Linked DNA regions of Schizosaccharomyces pombe. Changing the gene in region 2 together with the main gene of any one other region gives a genetic interaction. Each region holds a gene or a part of one and is shown on either strand. Other genes may lie near its edges.

Region 1 (3,665 bases), 910 kb from region 2:
TCTCTTAATCCTTTTAACAAGGAGAGCTACTTCCATCCGTACTGTCTTATTGATTGGGATATCACAGATAATGAGACGAACGTAATGGATTGTTGGCAAGATTCTGGTGTATTGTTGGCCGATTTGGATGTCGAAAGTTCAGACGTTTCTTCCTATTTGAGTGATCATTTCAAAAGTCTTATTTCTAAATACGATTTTGATGGACTGCGTATTGATGCTGTGAAAATGATGAACTACACATTCTTTCCTGATTTCGTTGATGCTACGGGTGTTTACAGCGTTGGTGAAGTTTTCTCTTATGATCCTGATACTATGTGTAGTTACATGAGTGTCCTTCCTGGAGTTACCAATTACTTTTTGCAGTTGTACATAAACTTCTCTTTTACTGCTACTGGTGCTGGATTCACTCTTATTCCCACTTACCAGGAGGTAATGGCTTCAAACTGTTCAAAATATGATAGTACTTTAATGTTGACTTTTATCGAAAATCACGATTTGTACAGATTTCCTTATTACACAAGTGACCAGTCACAGATTATGGGGGCTTTGTCATTTGTGTTGATTTGGGACGGCATACCCTCAATTTTCTACGGACAAGAACAGGGATTCAATGGTGGTGAGGATCCTGCTAATCGTCCTGCACTTTGGCTTACTGATTACGATCAATCAAACCCGTACTATACCGTTATTAAAACGATGGTTGCATTTAGAAAGTTTGTCATTACTCAGGATCCGGATTGGGTCACTTCCACATATCAATCGATCGAATCTGCTGTTGATCACTATGTTGGACAAAAAAATGATGTTCTCGTCATGTTCAATAATATGGGAGTTACCAACAACCTTACAATTTATGAAGTTGAGACGAATTACACTGCCAATGAAGTAGTCTCTGATGTCTTCGGTCACAGAACTTTAACCGTTGGTGCCGATAAAACCTTGACTGCCAGTATGACCAACGGATATCCCTTGATTATGTATCCACATTCGAAGATGTCTGGTTTTACATTACCAACTGTCAATCGTACAGTCATGCCATCTACATCGGCAACTGCCACAACCACTGTCTATACCTCTTATTACTCTCCTTCTTATTCTGCCAGATCATTTACTGGTACTGGTAGTATATTTACGATCTCTTCATCATCTAGACTTATCCTTTCTTTCAAGACTTTAGTTTTTGGCTTGGGTGTTACCGCAATGCTCTTTGTTTTATTCTTCTAGAATGCCCAAATAACCGCGTTAATTTTTAAAATTTTAACAATTTGCGTTTTTTTCGTCAAGGAAGGTCATTTTTTGGGTTGAATCTAATAACCATATAATGAGAATGAGTTAATTTATGCCTACAGCTTATTCTTGTTCTGATGCTTTAATCTCTCACTTGTTATTATTTGTCTTTGTAAACCTTTTTTTATCATACATATCTTTTAAACTGGCATATCTATTGTCTTGGAGCAGAAATGAAAAAAATTATCTGCCTAGTGGAATAGTCAATGAAAAGTAATATTGCATTTTTTAACAACCAAATGAAAAAGTACAGTTCTTATGCGTAGTTTCGCTTTACATCAAAAACATTTGCTTACATTGGTAAGTAAAAATAAAAAAATTTATCGAGTAGACATGTTGTTAGTATATTAAGGTGTAGGTCATCCAATATCACCATAAGCTCATAAAATTTGTACTTAAACTTATATTCTTTTCTAACGCTTTCATTTAAATTTAATAGTTTTTTGATGGAAAAGTCACATAATTGCAGGTGTTACTTAACATTGGTTTACGTTACAATCATTGAACATTTCTAAAATTCCCCATTCCACGGACCCGTATTCATATTCCATTTGTAATTAAAGAAAGTTTTGTTCTTGGATAAAGGTAACCAGTAGTTACTAAAAAGTTCGAACTTTTGGGACCTTCAGATGTCTTTAACCTAAACGACCGCGTAATTTGCTATTGTTTACATGTTGTGTTTCAACTGCTAAATTAACAGGAGAAGGAGAATAATTGTAAGCTAGCAGATACTGTGTGGAGCGATCTTTGTCGAACAGGCAGTATTCGTTTTGTCTGGAGACCTTACCTGAGATTCTGATACTAAACGTTGTAATCATCTTAGAGTAACTGGATCACTCGTTTAATTCTTTAAAAGTGAACTGAAAAATATTTTTACCATTTAACTCATTGCACGTTTGAGGATGCAAGATTCTTCCAAAAATAAACAACCATGCGTCTCATGGAAAGTTTCTCCTTTAAAAGCGAAAGCCATGTCTCCTGATGATGTCTCAAGGCTTTTTTGTAAATCCAGTACTAGTAGCGCTACTCGGAAGCATGATCCTTTTCATAAGCTATGGGATCGCTTACAACCAAAAGCACAATCCACTATTCAACGGACATCTTCATTGCCTGTTCCTTCGTCAAGTAATTTTAAAGAGAGATTAAATAATATAGGAGGACTTAAGAGGTCAAGGACATTGGAAAGCTCCTATGAAGATGAAACAGAGACTGCAAATAAGCTGTCACGGGTTTCTAGTTTGGTGAGCGTGATACGACAAACTATAGATCGCAAAAAATCACTAGAAAGAAGGGTAAGGGAAGAACAAGAAGAGAAGACAGATAATGAGGATGATAATGATGTCGAAATATCTACTCAGGAATCCCTGGAAAACAATGGTTTAGCGGAAAAGAAGGATGATACTTCATCACTTGCTACGTTGGAAGATGACATTGAGGGCCAAGAATTTTCGTTTGATGACCAAGATTTACAAATGCTTCAGGACATAGAAGACCAATGGCTCAGTTCTCAAAAACAGCAAGGTTCTCCTCTAACATCAGATCATATAAGCAAATAGAAAACGCTATTCGTAGTTTGACGGTTGGGCTAATGATTGTTGTATTTCCGCAAAGTATACCATGTAAATTTTTAAGCTTGTTATTTTGGGAAAAGAGTTTCGCAAGCACAATGTGAATACTACTGTATATGTACTGCCGCGATTAAGAACTGCAATGCACGAATTGCTTGCTTTACAACTTTATTACGTCTCCAAGGCGAGTGTATGTTTCTAAAATTTTTTTATGTTTGATATATACAAAATAATAATAATTATGATATTCGTCGTAAACTTCTCTCAGAAGCTAATTAAAGAATTAAATACATCAAGGTGAAGAGCGTCGAGATACCTTCCAAAAGTTTAGATATCTATTTTCGAGTTTTTGTCTAGCTGCTTCTAACTCAAGCATGTTGTAAAATTGCGAAACGATATGCCAATTTTTTGATTCTCGTTTGTAAATAGAATCGAGATCACTTAAAACCATTTGTATGCATTTATGAATCTCATCAGCATACCCAACATCCTCCTCTGAAATGTATGCCTTCATAAATTCATCTTCAAGTTTAGCATGGCGTAGCATACAGCTCATGCTTTGGATGAGACGATGTTTATTCTCTTTCATAGTTATCCTTTTTTTTAACATTCCACTTATTCTCTGACTTTGAGGCCAGAATTTGGGGCGTAAAAACGTATCTCCTCCAGTAGTACTTACTAAATGATATAGCACTTCACCATTGCGCACATAATTAAATATTGAATTGGACTTTAGCTTTTTTGTTTTCGTATGCGGTTTTGTTATCCCAACATCTCCTTGTTTTCCACCTTCATTTAAGTATTTTCGAT
Region 2 (4,808 bases):
TATTTAATAAAATACATGCGCGAATTAATTGCTATAATTGCGACAAACGAAACAGCGAAATCAAGAATTTTCACTCTGGAGCCCAATTTCAGCCGTTCAACATAAAAAACGAGCAATTTCTTTCAAAGAAGACTTCTCTCTTTAATAATAGTAGGTAAAAGTTAAAATTCGAAAACTCATTTTCAAAATGCAATTGCTTCTGACACATTTATTTTGTCACTGCCCTTTTTATTTACCCTAACTTAGCTTTCCTTAAAACGTTTTTGAGAAGCAAACGTTGTAGTATAATTATAATGTCAGCTACGCAGTTTGGTATCTGGTTTAACGATATATAGCACTGCGGCGAGATTTCTAGGGATTTACAACATAGCGGTATGCGCTTTGTTAACTAATAATATTATATTTATTGTTATAAAAAGTCTAGTAGTATCGGTCACCGATATAGCCAATAACTGAACTGAGGAATGAGGTTCAGTGGTAGCTCTATTTATATTTTTCTCTAGTTGCTACCAATGTGTAACTTGTGTAGATAGATGGACAAACAGCTACAATCATCAATAAACTAATGTTATGTATATTTTAGCATGACATATAGTGCTACGCAACGTAGTATATCGTAGCGTGCTGGACTACTGCTGACACAGTATTTGAGTTGAAACATTTCTGCAAAGGTTACATAAATTAGTGTCATTTAGAGCTTAGGAATTCAAATTCGATGGTGTTAATGGCTTCTTGAAGCTTTTTTCATTCCTATATTTATTCACTATATCTTCCTTCTCGTTGTTTATGAGCAATAAGTAAAGAGCCGACTTTTGCTGGTTCTTAGATTAGTGAATATATGAACATTAGTGTTTCAATGCTTTACGCTCTATGCTACCATGGAAAAGATCGAACAAAATGGATTGTCGTGAGCGTTGCATACTAAATCTTGGCTGACAGAACTGTAGGTGCATATGTAGTAACGGTCGTGCTTGCAATTGTTCCATTCCAACAGTATTGATTAAAGCAAGAAGCACATTGACTTGGAGTCGACATGTTTTTGCGTTCCAAGGAACGTTGAACGAGAGCGCATGCAACGCAGACAGCAAATGAATCACTGTTATTTTGGGTAGCAGCAACAGCGGCATTTTCAATCATTCCACTGGACAAAGTATCTTCCAGTTGAACAGTGTAGGTAGTGACATTTGCATACATAGTCCAAGGATAGTTGGGGAAGTAAACTACAAGAGGAGGAGTATCGTCATTAACGGTATGGTTTCCGGCTGTGGTGTTTCTACCGTCGCAACCGAAGAAAGTTGGATGAGTGTTCAAACCAAGAGCCAAAAATGTGTTGGTATCAGGAATATATGGGAAACCACGAACGCCAGAGGAGTTAGTGGCTAAAACTCTTTCATATGTAGAAACTAGGGACGATCCATCTGGCCATCCACTCGTTGCGCTTTGATAACCCCCGTCAATCGCAAAAATAACATCTACGTCTCTTTGTGGATGAAGCAAGGGCCAAAAGGGAATACCTTCACTATCTGAGCCACCGTCTATTAATTCAATAATGGGATACGGCTCCAAGGGATTGGTAGTGGTTGTATTGGAAGCATTTCCATAACCTTGGTAAGGGTTGGGATAAAGACCTACATCCAATTGATCTTCGGCAAGCATTTCGAGGAAACTAAGGACAGCATTGTTAAAGGTATTATTACTAGCGGTGAGTGATGCATTTGTCGCAGGAAGGATACCGCTAAAAACATTTGAAGAGGTACCCATGAGGAAACCAGCGTTGTCGAAATTACGCACACAGGATTCATTAAGAGGAATGCCATTAATAAGGTGTGTACCTGTATACTCCATGGGTATAAATGATTCCACCCCAGTGTCCCAAGTACCAAATTCGATGGGTGTAAATTCAAAGACAGTGTCGTTCAAAGGGATTACGGTTTCACCCTCTATGACATTATCAGCAATGATGATGGGAAAGGGAAATTCACCATCCTGGAACCACGTTTCATTTGTTACACTAGAGAATGTAGTATTAGCACCTCCAGTCAAAGGATTGACAAGCTTAAGAGCCAAAGCACGGCCCCAAAGGTCAGTAATGGAGACATTGAATCCAGCATTCTTCTTTTGCAGAACTTGCTCAAACCACTCTTGGTAAATATAAAAGTTCTCAAAAGCGTCGTCATAGGGAGCGAAGAGACTGTGGTCCAGGTTCCAAACGTCGTCGTGCAAGAAAGTAATATTGGCAAAGTTGTTAACCGCAACAGATCCCACAAGCCAAGAGCCACCAGAAAGACCAGTAAGGTACATGGAAGATTGAAGAATACCACCAAGAGACGTAGTGTTACCATTTCTAGCATCAAATGCATTAATAGCGCCGGCTCCCGTTAACATGGCAGGAAATCCACCGCCAGAGATTGCAATTCCCAAACGAGGGCCATCTGTGTCATTCAGCACACTTTTTGTATCGATTTTTAAGCCGGTTTTTGAAATAAAGCTTTCCAATGCACTGTTAACCTTTGAGACACGTTTGTCAACAAATTCTTGTTCACCAGTACTAAGGCCATCGGAGGCAGGTCGAAGCAGAGAGCCACTAGGGCAAGCAACAGTATAAGGCGCATACGATGGGCTTGTGCTACGCTTGGAAAGGGGTATAGAGTTTGCTGGCTTATCAACGTTATCGGGTTTCAATAATCCGATTAGTTCTGGGTCTGAAACGTCTACTTCATCGATACGAGAAGGAAGGCCCAAGGCCGGCAAAAGCTGGAGAGCGAGAAATAATCCAAAGGAAGATAATTTCATGTTTAAAAAAAAATAAAATAAAAATTAAAAAAGCAAGGTTGGTTTAATAAAGGATAAAAGGATAGAATACGGTCAATGATTCGTTTTTAAAAAAAGTTCGAATTTTTCAATTTTCTCTGAATCCAAAAAAAGCAAGAGAGTGATTAACAAACAGCGAGTTTCTAAAGTCTGAATTTTTTGAAATTTTCTGAGAATGAAAAAAATCAAGACAATGAAAGTAATCAATTAAAGAGCTTTCAATTGTCAATTCCCAATCTAGTAAGTTCAACGAAAAATATTTAGATATCTAGAGAGTCCGTCGAGCTACAATGTCAATAAAAGCAAATTAAGCATTTGATGGAGCGGTTCGGCAAGCGATGAGCTTAAACTATATTTCCATCAGGACACCTAGTTTTGTCGAAAAGGTTGGGATGAGACAGGATTTCGACATATTTCCAAGAAAATAATATCATGTTCTTTTTTATGATTTAACCTATCTTTTTCCATTGAAATAAAAAAATCCCAATTCAAATTTTCAAGTTGGGATTTTGCTTACCCACCGTCCGTTTTAGGAATAGACAGACGTTTTTGCTCATTTCCTTGCCAAACACAAACCGGCCTTGCCAACTTTCTAGGCATTTGTAAATTGCTTGCTTACCTACACAGATCACACTAAAGAAGGATGAATCACTGATTGTTTGTTTTAACGGGATTTACCGATTCAATCACTAAAGTTGCAACCTTTATTCATTTATTCCCAAGTGCTATATATATAATATATATAGGCTTTTGAGGATGAACTCACTTGTAGACTCACTTTTCGCATGACCCACGTTTCTCATGATCTGCTTACCTTGATCCGCAATTCGGCGTGGACTAGAAGGAACTCCGAAGATGCCATCTATGATGTTAACGATTTTCTATATGTAGCACCGTGAGATTATGAAATGGTGGTCATATTACTAAGTCTTTAGATGCCAGTTGGAGTTGGATTGCCTAGTTATCATTAGCATTCATGGGTACCATTTATGCCCTATTCAATAAATATTTCAGCGATTCTATAATGGAATATTTAGATCAACCTAGGCTCAGCTTTAAATGACGGGATGAATATCAACGGCTAAATTTATAAACGGATACCAACCCGATTGCTGCGAACTCACGGATGTAAAATTGTCTGGTAATGCAAATCATCGACAAGTCCATGATGAAACGACTTTCTATTTTTTTTTTACTTCTATTAACGTCATTTAATGTCCAACTCTTCTAGGAAATCCCCAAATTCGAATATTCAATAAGGTAATGGGGTGCGATGTTTTTAGTTGATTCACATTGGAAATATTTCAATTCGAGATATGAAAAACCATTGATAGAAACAGATAGAGTAGAAGTTATTGCTTGATGCAACAAAATTTGAAGATTTGTTAATTTACAGATTTGCTATTCTACAAAGTCTCATCCCTACAAGCAGAAATGGATCTGAATAGCGATCGCTTTAGTTAGGTCATAAGATCGGCAGTCTAAACGTTGACCGCACATGGCTACATTGTAGCCTTTATATTCTTTCTTTCTATTCCAGTTATAAGCTGATACAGTAGATCTTGAATTTCATCAGTTTGTCAAAATATCTCTCTCGTTTTATCATACTTTACAAACCCAAAACACAAACATAAGAAACTGCACTGAACTAAATGCAAAGCTATAAGGTATTGTAACAAGCTCACAATGTGATATATAACCATTTCGACAGAGTTATTAAGAGATACATTATTTTACACTTTGTTTAAGAGTTCCCGTGTATCCAGACTGTATACCTCCTTTGCTTAGTTCCCGTGTCTAAGGAGCTATAACAAAGAGTTTTGTAAACCTAGATTATGCACTGGCTTGTACGTCTTAAATAAATTTAAAGAACTACTGAAGTGTCATCGGTATGTGATGAATCCTTAGCGTAGCAAAGGCAGTTGAGGTATTAAGGTCAACGAATACTGTATTATAGTAAGTTTCGCAATACAAGTTAAGCAACAACTCGTCCAAAA
Region 3 (3,730 bases), on a different chromosome or scaffold from region 2:
TGCGTTGGAGGAGGTGGATATACTGTACGGAATGTTGCCCGTGTCTGGACTTATGAAACTGGTCTTTTAGCCGGCGAAGAGCTTGATGAAAGTAAGTACCAATACGTAAATTGTTTATTAACCCATCCAAGACCTTCCTTATAATGACTATTTACAATATTACGGTCCCGATTACAAGCTCAATGTTCTTTCAAACAATATGGAAAACCATAACACTCGGCAGTATCTTGATTCGATAACGTATGCTACCTTTTGAGTTTTATTCTTACGAGGCTGACCAAATTTAGCTCTGAAATCATCGAAAATTTGAGAAACTTATCTTTTGCACCTAGCGTTCAAATGCATAGTAAGTATAAGCGGTTATCGAAAAATGTGCTAACAAATACTCTTACATTAGAAACTCCCGGTGACTTTACGTTTGAAAATGCCGAAAAGCAGAACATTGCGAAAGAAGAGATTATGGATGAGCGCGTATAGACCTATATAAAATTTTGTATGTTCATGGTGTTTGAATCCATTATACTCGGTTTTTTTGTGTTATTTGAATCATGAATACTATAAAAGCTATTATGTTTAAATACCCTTATTTATAAGAATTCTCCAGCATAATTAGACTTCAGCATTAAATTGAAAATGCTCATTACATATAATAACAAACACTTTATATTCTATACTCTAGATGTGACTTGTGGTTTTAAAAAAAAAGGAATAGCCAAAAAATTAACGCACAAAGAAAGAAGAAACGGAAATCACAAGGTAGTAGTAATTATATGTCTATCCGAAGTAAAAGGTCAAAACAATTAAGGAAGTACAATATACTTCTTGTATTGTGGCTCAATTACATCAAATAATTTTTTACTTTCAAGGAATGAGCGACTGAATAAACGAGTGGCATACTTGTGACCAGAATCACAAAGAATTGTAACCACCGTCTTGCCAGGACCTAATATTTTAGCCATTTCAACAGCAGCGACCACATTTAAGCAAGAAGAGCCGCCCAAGAAAAGACCTTCTTGGTCTAACAAACGAAAGAACATGTTAATAGATTTTTCGTCAGGGATTTTCATAGCATCGTCAATGAGATCGTAAACAGGTTGGACATTTCCAGTAATACGACCTTGACCAATGCCTTCGGTAAATGAAGAACCCTTGTTGTCAGGATGCTTACCCTTCGTTTTGATATGGCTATACAAAACACTTCCAGGGGGATCAGCCACGAAAGAAGCAACACGACCGTCGGACTTCTCCTTCAAATACTTGGTAACGCCGGCAAAAGTACCACCAGTACCAGTAGAGCAGGTAAAGCCGTCAACGGTACCTTTGGTTTGATCCCAAATTTCAGGACCAGTGGTTTCGTAGTGAGACAGTAAGTTAGCGACGTTATCGAACTGATCAGTCCAAGAAGCATTCGGAGTAGACTCAGCGTGACGACGGGCCTGATGGTTATAATTGAGAGGGTTGGAAAAGGGAGCAACAGGTACGGGATGAACCTCGGCACCCAAAAACTTAAGGGTATCGATTTTAGCTTGAGATTGGGTATTTGGCATGTAAATCACGCATTTATAACCTCTTGCTCTAGCAATGTGAGCAAGACCAATACCAGTGTTACCGGCAGTCCCCTCGACAATTGTGCCACCTCTAGAGAGTTTTCCTTTTTTCTCGGCATCGCGTACCACGTAGTAAGCAGCTCTATCCTTGACGCTTCCTCCGGGATTTTGGAATTCTTAAAAAATTTGCAATTAGTATACATGAAAGCAATTAAAAAGAAATAAAGGTATAGGATTGCCATTCAATTGAGAAACCTCGACGTTTCAAAATTGTTTAGCAAAACGAGACCCATTAAACAACGCCCTATATCAAAAACATACCAGCTTTGGCAAGGATATTGCATCCCGTCTCGTTCGACAGCGTATTCAGTCTAATTAAAGGAGTACGACCAATTGCCCCAATGAATCCGCTAACGATTCCTGGAACCTTCGTTTGAATACCGCTAGTAGCCATGTTGTAGTACTAACTGCGAATTACTGTATATCACAGTAATTTCCTCTAAACACTTGGGCGAAGGCAAAGAGCACTGTAGTAGGATAGGTGATATTTATGAAGAAGATGACGCGATCGTCACGCGGAATTCAAACACCGGCAAATAGTGGAATTCGCAATTCTTTACTTTAATGAAGAATTTAAAACTACAGAAAGTCGTACGATAAGGCGTCCATTGTTAAAATTCTTTATCAATGTCTTTAATGGGATGTACGGATGTGATATTGTTAAATGTGTTTAAGTAATTGTAACGAGGAATGCAAAGATGGGGATGGAGGTGAAAAGGACATAGAATGAATAGCGTATTATAAGGGTTATTATTTGAGAAAGGTTTTTACGTTTATAATATTTATTAATTGGTTAATTTTTATTTATTTTATTTTTACGTTTATTAATTTTTACTCTTTTAATTTTTTTTATTATTTTTTTTTTTTTTACTTTTTTTTATTTTTTTACTTTTTTTTATTTTTTTATTTTTTTTTTTTTTTCTATTGCGTTGTCAAATTTTTTTCCTCAAGCATTTTATTCCTACTAATATTAAAAATTGTACGGCTATGTTCGACTATATCGACACAATGGCTACTCGTTTGAACGCTTGCTGTTTGATTGATTTCTAGTCTATTAACAAGAAAATCACATTTCAGTAACTCCTTGATTGTCGTTGCGTATAAAGAAAGCAAAGTAAGAGAACATTGGAGGTTTCCAATAAATTTTTTACGGAATAACTATTGAAAGCGTTTATTTGTATATTATAAAACTATTATTTTTTAAAAATTGTTTGTTATATGACAAGTGTTGTTGTCATGATCTTTTGATTTCATAATGAAAACTTATAATAGCGAAATTCACAGATGAAAAAAAATTATCCGCTATATCTCGTAATTTATTGCCTTTTGTCAGCAATACTACACTACGCTATGATACACTACGTTGCGTATCACTATATGTCATATGTTCTAATTATATATCGTACCATGTATGATACGATATGGAGATTAATCTTGATGATAATCTATTAAGATCTATATTATCTGAATACTATAAATAGAGCTACCACTGAACTGAGGAACGAGGTTCAGTTATGAGCTATATTAGTGATAGGTAACATTATAACCCAGTTAATACAATACCTATACTCAGTTGCTACTTATACAACCTGTGTATTGTAATATAAATAGACCACAAGGAAAACTCACCGCAGTTCTACGTATCCTTAAATCAGATACCAAACTGCGTAGCTTACACCTTTGCGTTTTTGTGTATTTGTAATTCTAACTTTACGAACTCGAATGAAATCTAGTGCAATATAAGAGTTGCAAAAAATAAATAATAAATTTACACAAGAAGGAATAAATGAATTAGAGAAAGAGATGAAAATGTTTAGCTAGTTTAACTGCTCCAATCCTTTTTTATTTCAGTTACTTCAACACACTATTATTTATTACTTCTTTTTAGCAATATTCACCCGCTTAACATCATCAGCAACACTTTCCGTACCATCCCTTTCCCCGGCAAAACCGAGCTTTTTGGATACAAAAACCGAACTGGGCTGGCAAAAGCAAGCCATGGCATACGTAAGTATTAATGTTTATTTTACCTCCAGTTACAATATATAAATACAGGTAGTCATGTTACAATTAAAACCGATTCGCATCCCAGCTCGCATGCTGAAAACACAAACTTGAATATG
Region 4 (4,193 bases), on a different chromosome or scaffold from region 2:
CATTGTGTTTCCGTATGGACATGTTCGCCTACAACAGGATGGTCATTATCTTGACTCGATGATGCATTTGAAGTGTTTTTTCCAAGTAAATATCCAGCAGTCAAAGAAGCAGCTGCAACGCCAGATACAATAGGCAAAAAACGGCCTTTCCATACATCAGTTTTGGTTGCAGTACCAAATTTTCGACAAATGCCTGCTTGAAATCCATTTCTCTGCAGTAGAGACCTTCTCATATTATTGTAACCGTTAATCCTTATACATTTTGGAAATCTGAAAAGTAAGTTTTTAGCAAACATGGTTTTTTTGATTTATGGGAAGTTGAGCTCTGAACTTCTAATGTCTGCGTAATGGTCAGAAAGCGGCGACGATCTTACAAGAACGTAACTTTGTCATTCATTCTAAGTTTATATAAGTTTGCATGTTTTTTAAATCAGATTTAAGTAAATAGGTATTCACAAATGTAAGACAAGCAAGACTGGCAGGATTTACGAGATTACTAAGAAATGCCTGAATGACTAATTTCATAATAGAATTAAACTAGCGACATAATAGTTTCACAAGCAAACTTAGGTATGCAAAACAAAAGGTAATTCATTTATAATATTTAATTAGAAGAACGTGAGTATTATTTTCTATAATATGTTAAATTTTTACTATAATAATGTACCAGTAAACGACACTGAATTTTTTCTTTAAAAGAAATATACTGACATCCCAATCTATTCTTCCTTGCCAATTATGTCAACCCAACGTTTGCCCTTAAGCTCGGCAAGAATCTCTTGCTTAATCTTGTGAGCAATTACAGGACCATCATATCCCAAAGCAGTATAAACTTGAACCATAGTTGCACCAGCACGAGCATACTCAATAGCATCTTTGCCAGAAGAAATACCACCACAGCCGATGATGGGAATATCGGAAGAAAGATGCTTACGAAGTGTGCGAAGAGTATTTAATGCGATAGGTTTGAGAGGAGGTCCAGAAAGACCACCCGTCTCTTCAACATGGCTAGTTGATTTGAGGGTCTTAGGGCGTTGAACGGTAGTATTACCAACGATCACACCGTCAATCTTGCACTTTTTGAGGACATCGGCAATGTCCGTGAGTTCTTCTTCGTTCAAATCAGGTGCAATTTTTACAAGTACGGGAGGATGAGGAGAGTTCAATTTATTGCGCTCACTGACAACAGCAGTCAATAAAGTTGAGAGGGCAGATTTCTTTTGTAGGTTACGAAGACCAGGGGTATTAGGAGAGGAAACGTTAATGACAAGAATGTCAGCGAAGTTACCAAAGGTACGAACACCTTCAACATAATCCTCAATCTCGTTACCGTTCTTATTCTTGCCTAAATTGATACCAAGGAACTTGTTAGGAATTAAACTACGAGGTACGCCAAGGACAGCGGGATCAGTGCAAGAAGCGGGATTTGCATCAAACTGTTTTAATAGTTGAGGAGATGTCTTAGCAATGTATTTGCGAACGCGCTTTTGAATCTTAGCAAGGATGGCATCATGGCCGATAGAATTAAAACCGTAACGATTGATTACAGACAAATCAGGCTTAAGGCGGAAATAGCGTGGTTTAGGATTACCAGGTTGAGGTTTAGGTGTGACCGAGCCAATTTCAAGATAGGAAAACCCGAAGTTCAACAAACCTGAGATAGCATCGGCTTGTTTATCGAAACCAGCAGCTAGACCAATGGGATTGCAAAATTTCTTACCCCAAACTTCAACGGCAAGAGATGGATCATCAGCTACACGATCCTTCGGTGTTATACCCCAAGAGGCAGCGAGAATGGCGACACGATGAGAAAACTCAGGAGTGGTGAAAGCATGAAAGAGAGGCATTTCAATGCGGCCATGGATAAAACTACGAACATCGGACATGTCGTAAATGGCAACGCCGGCAGTAAAACTACCAATAACACTCAAAAGCTTCCAATGACGGAGAAAGAAATTGCCATTTGAAGAGCCAGAGCTGGTAGATTGAAAACGTACAGAGGAGCGCTTTAAACCCTGAGCGACACCGCGAAACAAAGATCGTTGATACATTTTAGTATTTTTAATAGAATTCGGCTTAAATAAAAAATTTTCAAAACGAAATTGAAAAAAATATGAATGATAAAATAATAAAATGAAGTTTTATAATAGTTTATGCTTAATATATTTAAACACCAGTTTTTTTCCAAACACAACAAACCCAAGAAAAAATAAACAGAACCAAAAAATAAAAATATGGATTTAAGGATCAGAACAGAATCGTCAATCCGTTTCTTTATCCACCTAGAGACAAGAAGTGTTAATTTATATAAAATGGAGAACTTGGTTCTAATAAGATTTCAACGAAAACAAAGATTTCAGAACCGAAAAAATTTCTCCAAGTGCTAGCAGAGGTATATTCTCTGAGAAAGAACAAAAATCAAAAATTGAATGTTTATATTGAATGTTACCTGTAACAGGTAACATGTTTTTTTAGTAATGCCGGGCTGTCGAAATTTGACTATGAGTTTTGTAAATAAAGCGATGGTTATAAACAATTTTATGATAGTTTTTGCTTTCGAATTAACATTTCATAAAAAATTTGAAAAAGAAAAATTTTAAAAATTTAAGGACAAAATCCACTTGAAAAACAAGTGCGAACAGCTTTTTGCAAAAAAACTACAAACCACTACACATTAGCGAATAAGCCTATTAGGAATTTATTTTAATTTTTGTTGATTTAAATTTCTTTTTTTTTTAAATGGTTAGAATCTAGTTGATAAACTTCTAGCAATGTATTTCCAAATTGTTTCTATTACGTTCGTTGATACAGGCAATTGTTCATTTCTGGTATGACTAAAGCATTTCTATACAATTCAACTTCTCATTTTTTCTAGCTGTATTTATGATGTACAGAGCGTTGGGAGAGAGTTGATTAAGTCAATAGTATTTATGAATGAGACAAGGAACACTCATACTATATCAATGATAAATAGCTTTTATATTATCCTGTTATAATCATAAAAATTAATTTCATCTATATAGACTTAGAAAAAAATGGTTTCGTTTTCACTGTCCTTAAACTACAAATATCGTACACGTGTTACTTGTTCTTCAGGTGTACCCTCACTATTGTCAAATCTTATGAAATTCTTTACTCGTTGACTTGATTGTTATGCGAACAGTATTTTCGCAAATTCCTCGTTTTAAACAAGTCAATCAGTACATACGGATGTCGACAAGGCAGTCAGACATTAGGTTTGTTAGATAGAAGACAGACGTTGACTAACCCATATAGCAACTTCTTCATTTCTTCTGCTTCGCACAAAAGCGAGCACGTGGAGGTTTCTCAATCGTCTTCTGATTCCAAAAATGTTGATGGGAGAAGCACAAGCGAAAAGAGAAAGGTCGAATCAGTGAAATTAGTCGACGAGTCGAAACACAACAACCACGACGACACTGGAACTCAAAATGTTGAGCGTGAAAATAATATTGTGTCTGAGGCAAAAAAGCAAAAGACTTTAGGTTCATCCTCCTCTTCTTCAGATGCCGTATCTAGTAACAACGATTCTGGGGCATCTACTCCAATACCTTTGCCAATCAAAGAACCACCGTTAGAGTCCAATGCTCGCAATGATAAGTTAAAAGGTCATGCAACATTTGCTGAAATGGTAAAAGCATTCACAAAAATAGAGAATACTAGCAAACGGTTGGAAATCATTGATATAATGGGGACTTACTTTTTTGGAATTCTTCGCGACCATCCCAGCGATTTACTGGCCTGTGTGTATTTAAGTATCAATAAGGTATGAACGTTTGGTTTTAAAGGATTTCTCCTTCTCAGTACTAACGTCTTTTTTTACATTAGTTGGGCCCAGATTACTCGGGACTAGAGCTAGGAATTGGCGAAAGCATTATAATGAAGGCTATTGGAGAGTCTACAGGGCAAACGCTTCAACAGATTAAACTATCGTTTCACAAAGTTGGTGATCTTGGTCTTGTAGCTCAAACATCCCGTCAAAATCAACCCACTATGTTTAAACCTGCAGCGCTGACAATTCCATTTTTATTTGACTCATTAAAAAAAATTGCTCAAATGAGCGGAAACCAATCCCAAAATAGAAAAATTGGAGTGATCAAGCGGCTATTGAGTTCCTGTGAAGGTGCAGAACCTAAATATTTGATTCGAGCTTTGGAAGGCAAGCTACGCCTCCA

What was found.
Region 1: mutations in plb5 (region 2) and dbl1 together harm fitness more than expected from each alone (negative genetic interaction), as found in Schizosaccharomyces pombe (one large-scale study listed by BioGRID).
Region 3: mutations in plb5 (region 2) and cys11 together harm fitness more than expected from each alone (negative genetic interaction), as found in Schizosaccharomyces pombe (one large-scale study listed by BioGRID).
Region 4: mutations in plb5 (region 2) and ura3 together harm fitness more than expected from each alone (negative genetic interaction), as found in Schizosaccharomyces pombe (one large-scale study listed by BioGRID).

The regions. Positions count from the first base shown.
Region 1 is NC_003421.2:831,525-835,189, reverse strand, and holds dbl1 (protein Dbl1), read left to right. Parts: upstream 1-1,810; 5' UTR 1,811-2,189; coding exon 2,190-2,843; 3' UTR 2,844-3,124; downstream 3,125-3,665. Other genes in the region: aah3 (GPI-anchored glycosyl hydrolase family 13 protein), read left to right, coding at 1-1,224; mitochondrial LYR family protein Lyr2, read right to left, coding at 3,148-3,665.
Region 2 is NC_003421.2:1,740,667-1,745,474, forward strand, and holds plb5 (phospholipase Plb5), read right to left. Parts: upstream 2,794-4,808; coding exon 922-2,793; 3' UTR 536-921; downstream 1-535.
Region 3 is NC_003423.3:846,256-849,985, reverse strand, and holds cys11 (cysteine synthase), read right to left. Parts: upstream 2,067-3,730; 5' UTR 2,002-2,066; coding exon 1,869-2,001; intron 1,724-1,868; coding exon 801-1,723; 3' UTR 501-800; downstream 1-500. Other genes in the region: class 1 histone deacetylase Clr6, read left to right, coding at 1-91, 132-240, 288-346, 398-477.
Region 4 is NC_003424.3:1,384,791-1,388,983, forward strand, and holds ura3 (mitochondrial dihydroorotate dehydrogenase Ura3), read right to left. Parts: upstream 2,356-4,193; 5' UTR 2,052-2,355; coding exon 720-2,051; 3' UTR 567-719; downstream 1-566. Other genes in the region: disulfide relay system thiol oxidase subunit Mia40, read right to left, coding at 2-296; ATP-dependent DNA replication ligase Cdc17, read left to right, coding at 3,154-3,236, 3,277-3,784, 3,847-4,193. UniProt on the Schizosaccharomyces pombe protein: In the de novo pyrimidine biosynthesis pathway, catalyzes the stereospecific oxidation of (S)-dihydroorotate to orotate with reduction of flavin and the transfer of electrons to ubiquinone, which is part of the respiratory chain.